Coturnix japonica: one gene and its partner. The protein of the gene in region 1 binds, or shares a complex with, the protein of each later gene. Links are inferred from orthologs where the notes say so. Each region holds a gene or a part of one and is shown on either strand. Other genes may lie near its edges.

Region 1 (4,516 bases):
ATAATAGGGGTAGCCAACGGCTTCAAAGCTGCTGCTGCATCCCACATGAAGTGCTCAGAAACAGACAAAGTGCCTTATCTCAAAGCAAGAGAAAATATCTTTCTGGGTAAATGGTACAAAACGTAATCAGTGCTGAATCTGAAGAAGGAGATGATCTTTTAAGTGAACACCACACTAAAGTACCAGCTTGTAATGAACCAAAATACCATCCATCGTGCAGGAGGAGCTCATTCCAAAGAACCACCACTGACCCAAATGCCACAAACTTCTTCAGAGCCATCGAAGGGTTGAAAGAGCCGTGACTCACGTGGAGCCCTAAACGTTCAAGCGTGTAATTAGCAGAGAGCTAATGAAGCATGAGCTGGTTTCTTCCAAAGGAAAGGGTGGGGCAGCGTGATCTAACAGAGTCAGAAAATACAAGAGCCATTAAGCAACTTCAGAATTCAGAAAGAAATGCAAAGAATCTGTGTTTGCAGAACAGATTGCTTGAGTCTTCACCAAGTTGGGAGCATCTTCCTTGCAATTATGAGACTCCAGCTGTAACATCTGCATCCCAACATACACAGCAGAGGTTGTAGATTAATACTAATGAGAATATAAATGGTTGTTAACTGCAACCACAGACCCAGAGCATGATCAGCCACCTGAAACCAAGCAAACAGACTCAGACTGTAATCAAGCAGGGGAAATGGCAACCACTGCTTTAAACTCCTGGAGCCCAATGGCCGAGGGGCTTCAATGTCCTACCCACAGAGCTCAATTTCACAGACCGGTCAGGGCATCCCCCTTCTCCCCTCCCTGCATCAATGCAGACCTCAGGCTACAGTTTTACTTGCCCACATCAAAATCTTACATTGTGCCTGTAGCAATGACTGCTCTGCTGGAGGAGTGATGAATGAACAGACTCAGTGTCACCACATCCACGTGACTCATAAAGGCACTTTGAAATGAAATCACAAGAAACTGGGAATTTCAAGTGAGAGGGGGAGCCAGAACTTCTAAAACCTGCTCAGAAATAGCAGCTACCGGCTTCCACACACTCTGCTTATTGTGCCTGCACATAAACCTTACTCACTGGATACAAGTTCGGAAGTGAGAATGCTCCTGTCTCAATGAAAAACCTGAAATCACCTCACTTGGTGATTGCTTGTTGTGCAAGATGATATGAACTGATACCATTGACTTCATGTTCCTATTATTCTTCTATTTGCGTGCTGTTTTGGTGGGGTTTGCTCAGCAAAACATCATCCGAGTTACAACTGTCTTCCCAATCTTGTCTTCCCCTGCAAAACACTTGTGCAGCCCCATCCAGAAGGCTGACATGTATATGGTCCTCCCGGCAGGGCTGCTGCTGCCATGCACTGTCAAAGAACCACAGAATCATGTGGGTTGGAAGAGACATTTAAAGGTTATGTGGTCCCTCAGGGAACTCACAGCTCCATCAGGTGCTCACAGCCCCATCCAGGCTGAACTCCGGCTGTCTGCAGGGATGTGACATCCACCACCTCACTGGGCACTGAGTCAGAGCCTCATTGCCCATACAATAAAAGGCTTTTTCCTTACATCCAGTCTAAATATCCCCTCTTTTAGTTTGAGACCATTTCTCCTTGTCCTGTCACAACAGACTCCACTAGAGTCTGTCCCCTTCCACTTCCATCCACCTGCTGGCTGTGCTTCTCTCAGTGCAGCCCAAGAACACTGTCAGACACACAAAGGCACAGTTATCTGTGCTGCCATGCCTGGAAGGTGACCCAAATGAGCAAGAGAAGCCAAGAGCTTCTCCATACACATCCCAGACACCAACACAAGGAGCTGCCAACACACAGCGACGCTTCAAAGAGTTTCCCAACAGCGACAACAAAGCAGAACAGTGTCACCAACAGCCTTAAAGCTGAGCTGCTATTAGGAGCTATGTTCCCAGCACCGTGCAGCTCTACCAGCTCAGCTCCAAGCTCCATCCATCCCAAAGCACCGAGCGGGCTCTGCCACAACGTGCCCGGCTGACTCAGCACCGCACCCTAAGGCAGGTCATAGAATCACAGTGTTGTAGGGGTTGGAAGGGAACTCTAGAGATCATCCAGTCCAACCCCCTGCCAAAGCAGGCTCCCTACACCATGTCACACAGCTCGGCGTCCAGGCGGGTCTTAAATATCTCCAGAGAAGGAGACTCCACCACCTCCCTGTGCAGCCTGTTCCAGTGCTCCGTCACCCTCACTGTAAAGAAGTTCTTCCCAAATTCATGCAGAACTTCCTATGCTGTACTTTCATCCCATTACCCCTAGTCCTATCCCCACACACTACTGAAAAGAGACCAGCCTCACCACTATGGCTCCCACCCCTCAGGTATTTATAAACCTGGATCAAGTCCCCTCTCAGCCTTCTTTTCTCAAGGCTAAACAGACCCAGTTCCCTCAGTCTCTCCTCACAGGGGAGATGCTCCAGGCCCTTCACCATCTTAGTAGCCCTCCACTGGACTCTTTCCAAGAGATCCCTTTCTTTTTTATACTGAGGAGCTCAGAACTGGACACAATATTCCAGATGAGGCCTCACCAGGGCAGAGCAGAGGGGGAGGATCATTCGAACCACTGGATCACCTGGGCTCGGCCCTCACCTCCCTCACCCTCACCCTCATTGCGGCCCCGCGAGCCGGGCCTGGAGCGGGACAGAGAAAGAGACAGCCCAGGAGGGAGCGGCCCGGCTCCATCCGCTGAGGGCAGCGGGCAGCAGCTCACCGTTATCCCGGGGGTGGCGGGGCCGTCCCCCCGTCCCGCTCTGCTCCGCTCCCGGCGCTTCTTCCGATCGGCGGCCGAACGAGGAAACGGGGTCGGCGTCACTTCCTGGGCTGGGCCGGGCTGGGAGGAGCCGTTCGTTCATACACACCCGGCTGGGCCGGACACACACAGACACTCAATTGGGAATACAGCGAATCAAAAGGCTTTCGTTAAAGTCACAGTGAAAGTGTAGGGAAACCTAAAGAATGACTGAATTGAAATATTGAAGAGTCAAATAAACCTGAGTGATGTTCATCTCCCCCTTCCCAACACTGCTGTGTTTAACTATTCCAGCTCTGGATATGAAACTCAGCACCTGGCAGCCTTTATTCCAAATAAACACTTGGAAAGGGCTCATAAGAGCTTTACATCCCCATCTCTGAGAGGCAATTTAATAGCAATTCCTTAACCGCATAGAAGCGTGAACATCAATCAATGCAAACCATCAGCCTTTTCTATACATTTTATCATCAAGTTTTTAATCATTATTCTCACGTGAGTGATGCCTTTTAGTATCGCCATTAGTACATCTGTAAAGTCTTTTGGTCAGATGTTTAATTAAGAATCTTGGATGAGCGAAGCCAATGGGACACAATATGCAGACAAACTTCCCCTTCCTCCATAAGGTCACTGTGAGGCTGCCTCAAGTTGGGTCTTTTTGGACAACAGATGCATTTTCAGAGCCCCAAACAGCAGCATCTTCATATGGCTCCATCTATCCTTCAGTTTTGGACACATAGAAATGGGTAACTGGAGAAATATCAGGATAGGGATGAACAAAATGGGCTGGTATTGCACAAAGTGTCAGCAAGAATGTTGATGGAATGATGGAAGATGATGGTTTGAATGATGGAAGTGAGGAACGAAGCACTTGTGTCGTATCATGACTTGACCAGCTCCAGAACAAAGTTTAATAGCACAGAATGTAAAAAGAATCAGTAATAAAATAATACACGTTAAATACTCTTAATACTTCTGCTAATAGGAACATACACACGGAGTTACTCATTCACCAGAAGCCTCTGCAGATAGTCCTGATTCTATAGAGTTTCTTTTTGTAGGTACTGTAAACATTCAGAATTTCTAAGGCTAAAAACAGGCACCAGTCCTTCATGAACAGTAATTAATCCAAAAAGCAATAAGGAATATTCTTCCCAATCTGCTGTTCCTCTTAATAACGACAGAAACAACTAAATATTGTACTTCACAACGCAGGATTCTTAATTTAGAAAATATGCATATAGCTTCATCTTCACAACAATACTCCTCTATTGGTTTAATTGTCTATGACACCAAAGTTACACTTGCAGGATCTCAGTGCGGGGTGTTACTCAATCCATAAAGTGACAAGCTGAATGTAGTGACCGAAACACTCTGAAGTGGGTAAAATGGAACCACGTCCTGTCAGCATTCCTAGCACCTGAGGCTGAGATCCATGCCATCCACTTTGCAGACAACGGGACTGCAGCCACACAGTAGGTGGCACATTAAAACATAAAGGTTAGACACTGCTCTCCATCATTTCCATGAGGTGATTTTGTTTTGTGCCTCATTAAGGTACCTGAGCCAACAGTCTTGTTTCAGGCTGTTTGGTTGGTTGAATATTGCAGAGGTTTTTTAACCTCTGTGGCAGGTCCCTCTCTGCTGACCAGCTAAGCACTGGCTGACGTTTCAGCAGACTGATTCCAATATACGTTAGCAGCAATGCATTTCCAGAGACAAAAATATTCAAAGCAATTGTCATC
Region 2 (4,525 bases), on another chromosome or scaffold:
AGAAACCTATTTACTGCAATACTTTGAACTGATGCCACAAGGCAAAGTCACCTTATCAAATTAAGCCTTTAATAAGAAAAAAGAAAATAAAATCTTATGAAAATGTCACTGTTTTGTTAGCCACTCCATCTATTCTTTTAAATGAATGTTTTCATTAGGTTTGGTAATTCCTTCCACAACTGCAAGGCACAGAAAAGCAAGAATGACAATACACAAGCACACATCACACACAGTGAGATTCAACAATCAATAAGATGCGTGGCACTAAGGAGGTTCAGACAAAACAAAGAGGGGTGAGTTAAGATATACTGCAACTGGTTAAAATATACAGGGAGCAACTAGAAACCTAATCACAGAATCACAGAATCGTAGGGGTTGGAAGGGACCTCTAGAGATCATCGAGTCCAACCCCCCTGCCAAAGCAGGTTCCCTACACCATGTCACACAAGTAGGTGTCCAGGAGGGTCTTGAATATCTTTAGAGAAGGAGACTCCACCACCTCCCTGGGCAGCCTGTTCCAGTGCTCCGTCACCCTCACTGTAATTCTTTCTTCTCCACATTCGTGCGGAACTTCCTATGCTGTACTTTCATCCCATTACCCCTAGTCCTGTCCCCACGCACTACTGGAAAGAGACCAGCCTCACCACTATGGCTCCCACACCTCAGGTATTTATAATCACTGCAGAGAAGCAGAGCTTCAACATCACATGTGAGCATGTGCTCCCCTTCCTTCACAAGCAGCTTCCATTCCCCATAGGCAGCCTCAAGCAAAAGCTCTCAGGCTGTAGCACCTAGAGAGACATTTGACTGTCAACGTTTTGGGGCCATTTAAATTTCCATTTTCTGATGTCTGTGACCCAGCTCCCTTTTGGCTTCTAATTTTAGACTTTCTGCTGTAGAATTTAAGAGACAACAAAACCAGAGCTACGCCACGTGACAAGCTATTCTCTCTACACAGGATATCAGAATTCAGCTATACACAGTCACTGCAGTGCACTTCTAAACATGACTGCTTGCTCAACACCAGCCTTCAGGTGGTGCAGCAACAGAAGTTACAACTGCAGCTCTGATACCTAACAACGACTGATCGCTTCTATAGCATGTCAAGAAGAGGTTACCTCTGTGGCAATCAGATCTATCATTAGCTTGCCGTGCCTCCAACATCACCCTCAGTAAACCAACAAACAGGTACATCTAACAGCCCAGTATGAGCACAGACAGATGAAGTTCAAATTATTTTTAGCTACCTGAAACAAATACGGAGCAACAATACCTGTTGATGAAATATTAAGTGTGCTGTTTCCAATGCATCTCTAATGTTTACTTTCTTTTAAGGGAAAGTTGGAATCTCTCCCCATGGTGTGCATGAATAGCACACAGCTACCCTGAGGCACCACCATTTATACTGTATTTCACAGACAGAATCACAGAATGACCCGGGTTGGAAGGGACCTCAAGGATCATGTAGTTCCAACCCCCCTGCCTGGCAGGGCCACCAAACATACACCTTTACTAGATCAGGTTGCCCAGGGCCCCGTCCAACCTGGTCTTGAACACCTCCAAGGACGGGGCATCCACAGCCTCCCTGGGCAGCCTGTTCCAGGGCCTAACCACTCTCCTAGTGAAGAACTTCCCCCTAACATCCAACCTAAATCTTCCCTCTTTTAACTTAAAACCATTTCCCCGTGTCCTGCTATCGTCAGCCCTTTCGAAGAGTTTACTCCCCTCCTGGGTGTAGGTTCCCTTCAGGTATTGAAAGGCTGCAATGAGGTCACCCCGTAACCTTCTCTTCTCCAGGCTGAACAAGCCCAAAAGGCTGAACAGACCTTCAAAAGCAGTTCAGAACCCACATGGCAGCAGGGTTTGTTTCTTCATTTACAAGAAAACATACAGAACACAGCATAGATTGCAGTGCTAAAACCATGTTTCCACATACATGCCCTCAATAGGCAGAAGAGATGCTGCGCAGCTGCAAGTAAAGAAGCTAAACATGCAGAGAGAGCTCAAAAGACACGTGCTGATTGTACAACCCACAACATGGAACTCAAAACACATTTTCCAAGGCCACATAGAACACACGTGCGTTTTGCTGTGTGGGATGCAGACTGCTCAGCACCGGGAGGCAGCAACAAATATCACTTTCCAGTAGACACCCATCACAATTTCACCAGTGGAATTTCACTGCTCAGATGTTTATAAGTTCGGTGACAACTCAGGCTAGAATTCATGGAGATTACACGATGGCCTCACGGATCTTGTGAGTAATTAAATCATAAGCCTTAAGCTTGTGAAAGCTGTTCTTTCTAACTGCTGGCACTGAGGTAACTCAGGCACCGGGTCTGCCAACCAGATGCAGGCTGTCATTAACAGAGACGCAACGCACTCGAAGCACTTAGTCATCAGCCCACCACCAACCATTACAACAACAGCCACATTACTTTCAAGCCGCGCTTCCGCATCCCAAGACTCGAAGGAATAAATCGATCAAACAAGAACCGAGTGAGACCCCGAAGCACCATTCGGGCGAACTGAAGCCCAAATCAGCCTTCAGCTGTACCCCTAAAGGGGAACCACAGCCGCCCCCCCGCGCCCCCGGCCGGCCCGCACCTGCAGCGTGGTGATGTGCTTGTCGTTGAACTTGTTCTCGCAGTAGCGCAGCACCAGGGAGGTTTTCCCTACGCAGCCCTCCCCGAGAAGTACCACCTTGAACGAGAAGCTGCGACCTCCGGCCGCCGCCGCTCCGGCCCCCGCCGCCATCCGCGCCCCGCCGCCCGCCGGGCCGCCTCACATCCACCGCCCCGCTCTGCGGCCGCGGAACGCCGCCGCACGCAGGGATGAAGAGCGCAGGGGGCGGGAGGAAGGAATGGAGGAAGGAGTGCTGGAGAGACAACAAGCAGACACAGCCGCAAACACCTCCACACAACCAGCGGCCCCGCTGCCCCTAATGGCGTCTTCTTCCTCCTACGTCACGCACCGCCCGGTCACGCGCCGGCAATGGGAGGGGCGGGGAGCATTGAGCGTTTGGGCGCCATCTGTGGTGGGGTTCTGTGAGGGTGTGATGGAGGGAGGGTGTGCTCGGTGTTCCTCGTGAATAAGAGCAGTGAAGCACTCGAGGTTTACCAACAGATTAATTTACCCAAGACCAGGCTGCCCATGGCCCCATCCAACCTGACCTTGAGCACCTCTAGGGATGGGGCATCCACAGCCTCTCTGGGCAGCCTGTGGCAGCACCTCACCACTCTCATAGTAAAGAACTTCCCCCTGATATCCAATCTAAATCTTCCCACCTTCAACTTAAAACACACTTCACTTCTTGTTCTGTAGAACTCCTTGATCTCTGGGCTCCTTCCTGGAGTCAATGCTTTGTGTTGGAAGGGACCTTAAAGCTCATCCACTTCCAACCCCTGTATTTCTCCATCCAAGAACCGGGTAACTGTCCTGTCAAATTGAATATCCTTCCTAAATTAAAAGCATTCTGCACGTAGCAATCCAAACTGCTGCAATGTAACTCCTCTCTAGTGATCATTTAGCGGTAAGAAAAGTAATGCTTATGAAAAGGCATCACGGTGCAATTTCCTTTGTCAGATAAGACTAATGCTCTGTCGTGTGAGAACGAACGGAGGAAAGAACAGAGACCGCTTCCAGGAGAACAAAGATCAGATTTCCTGGAGCAAGAAGCCTCATTAATGAGCAGCATTACATTCACATAGAAAATGGATTTGTTTTTATTTCCCCCTAGATGTAAGCAGAGGAAACAGGACAAGGTGAAAAATCAATGCAGTCAAACTCTTCAAGGGTATCTTTCCTTTAAATGCGTTCCTAGTTTCATCAGCAAGTGAATTATTTCAGCAAGTTAGGATAAAAATACTGTCTTGCTGGAAAGTGATGCTGCTGTCAATCCTGCCCTCCATGCCTGAGCAGGAAACTACTAAAGTAAAACTTTACTAAGTCTTCTAGGCCAAATGGATGACGAAGTGAGATCTGCATAGATGAAGATTGCACACACAGTGGAAGTTGATGCTCAAGAGCACGAGCTGCTGGCACAGGTACAGAAGAGTCATCAGGGAGAGTCACTGCAAAGTCCACAAGCTGATGTTCCTGACCACAACTATGAGCACTGCTCTTCTAACAGAGCACAGCCAAGCATAAGACACAGTCTGGAGCTCAGTCCTGGCACAGTTCATTTCTCCAGTAGTCCTCTGCCACGGTGCACAGCCAGAAGATGCATCTTCCCGCTGACAATAAGCACTTTCAAGTTACTACTCCGTTCCATCATTCCTGTTTTCCTCTGTCTTACCTGAACCCTGTAGTTACAGATGTGTTTGTGTGGCAAAAGTTATAATACCCAAAACTTTAGCCACCTGCACTAAATGAAATTAAAAGGCTGATATGGTTGAGAAAGAAAATTCTGTATGAGCTATAAAAAGCATCACATTTGACTGTAATCTGATGTGTGTGACACTGAAATCTGCAAATCGAAATATCTGTGATAGTTATCGATTTATTTTAGTAGTGGTAATTAAAT

Evidence for each region.
Region 2: the proteins of RABGEF1 (region 1) and RAB21 are in contact, whole or in part, in a crystal structure (PDB 2OT3), measured with the Homo sapiens proteins. The link is inferred for Coturnix japonica from reciprocal best matches to the Homo sapiens genes RABGEF1 and RAB21. Residues at the interface, in NP_001273991.1 of Homo sapiens: Leu253, Cys254, Lys296, Phe299, Asn300, Lys303, Pro309, Ala310, Ser311, Ala312, Asp313, Phe315, Leu316, Pro317, Ile320, Leu347, Met348, Thr349, Gly350, Glu351, Gly353, Tyr354, Tyr355, Thr357, Asn358, Cys360, Cys361, Ala364, Phe365, Ser373; in NP_055814.1 of Homo sapiens: Ser19, Phe20, Lys21, Gly26, Glu27, Gly28, Lys32, Thr33, Leu37, Thr50, Thr51, Leu52, Gln53, Ala54, Ser55, Phe56, Ala71, Trp73, Asp74, Thr75, Ala76, Gly77, Gln78, Arg80, Phe81, Leu84, Ile87, Tyr88, Asp91.

What each region holds. Positions count from the first base shown.
Region 1 is NC_029534.1:3,855,662-3,860,177, reverse strand, and holds the start of RABGEF1 (rab5 GDP/GTP exchange factor), read right to left. Parts: upstream 2,853-4,516; 5' UTR 2,733-2,852; intron 1-2,732. UniProt on the Homo sapiens protein: Rab effector protein acting as linker between gamma-adaptin, RAB4A or RAB5A. Involved in endocytic membrane fusion and membrane trafficking of recycling endosomes. Stimulates nucleotide exchange on RAB5A. Can act as a ubiquitin ligase.
Region 2 is NC_029516.1:33,033,943-33,038,467, reverse strand, and holds the start of RAB21 (ras-related protein Rab-21), read right to left. Parts: upstream 2,980-4,525; 5' UTR 2,758-2,979; coding exon 2,608-2,757; intron 1-2,607. UniProt on the Homo sapiens protein: The small GTPases Rab are key regulators of intracellular membrane trafficking, from the formation of transport vesicles to their fusion with membranes.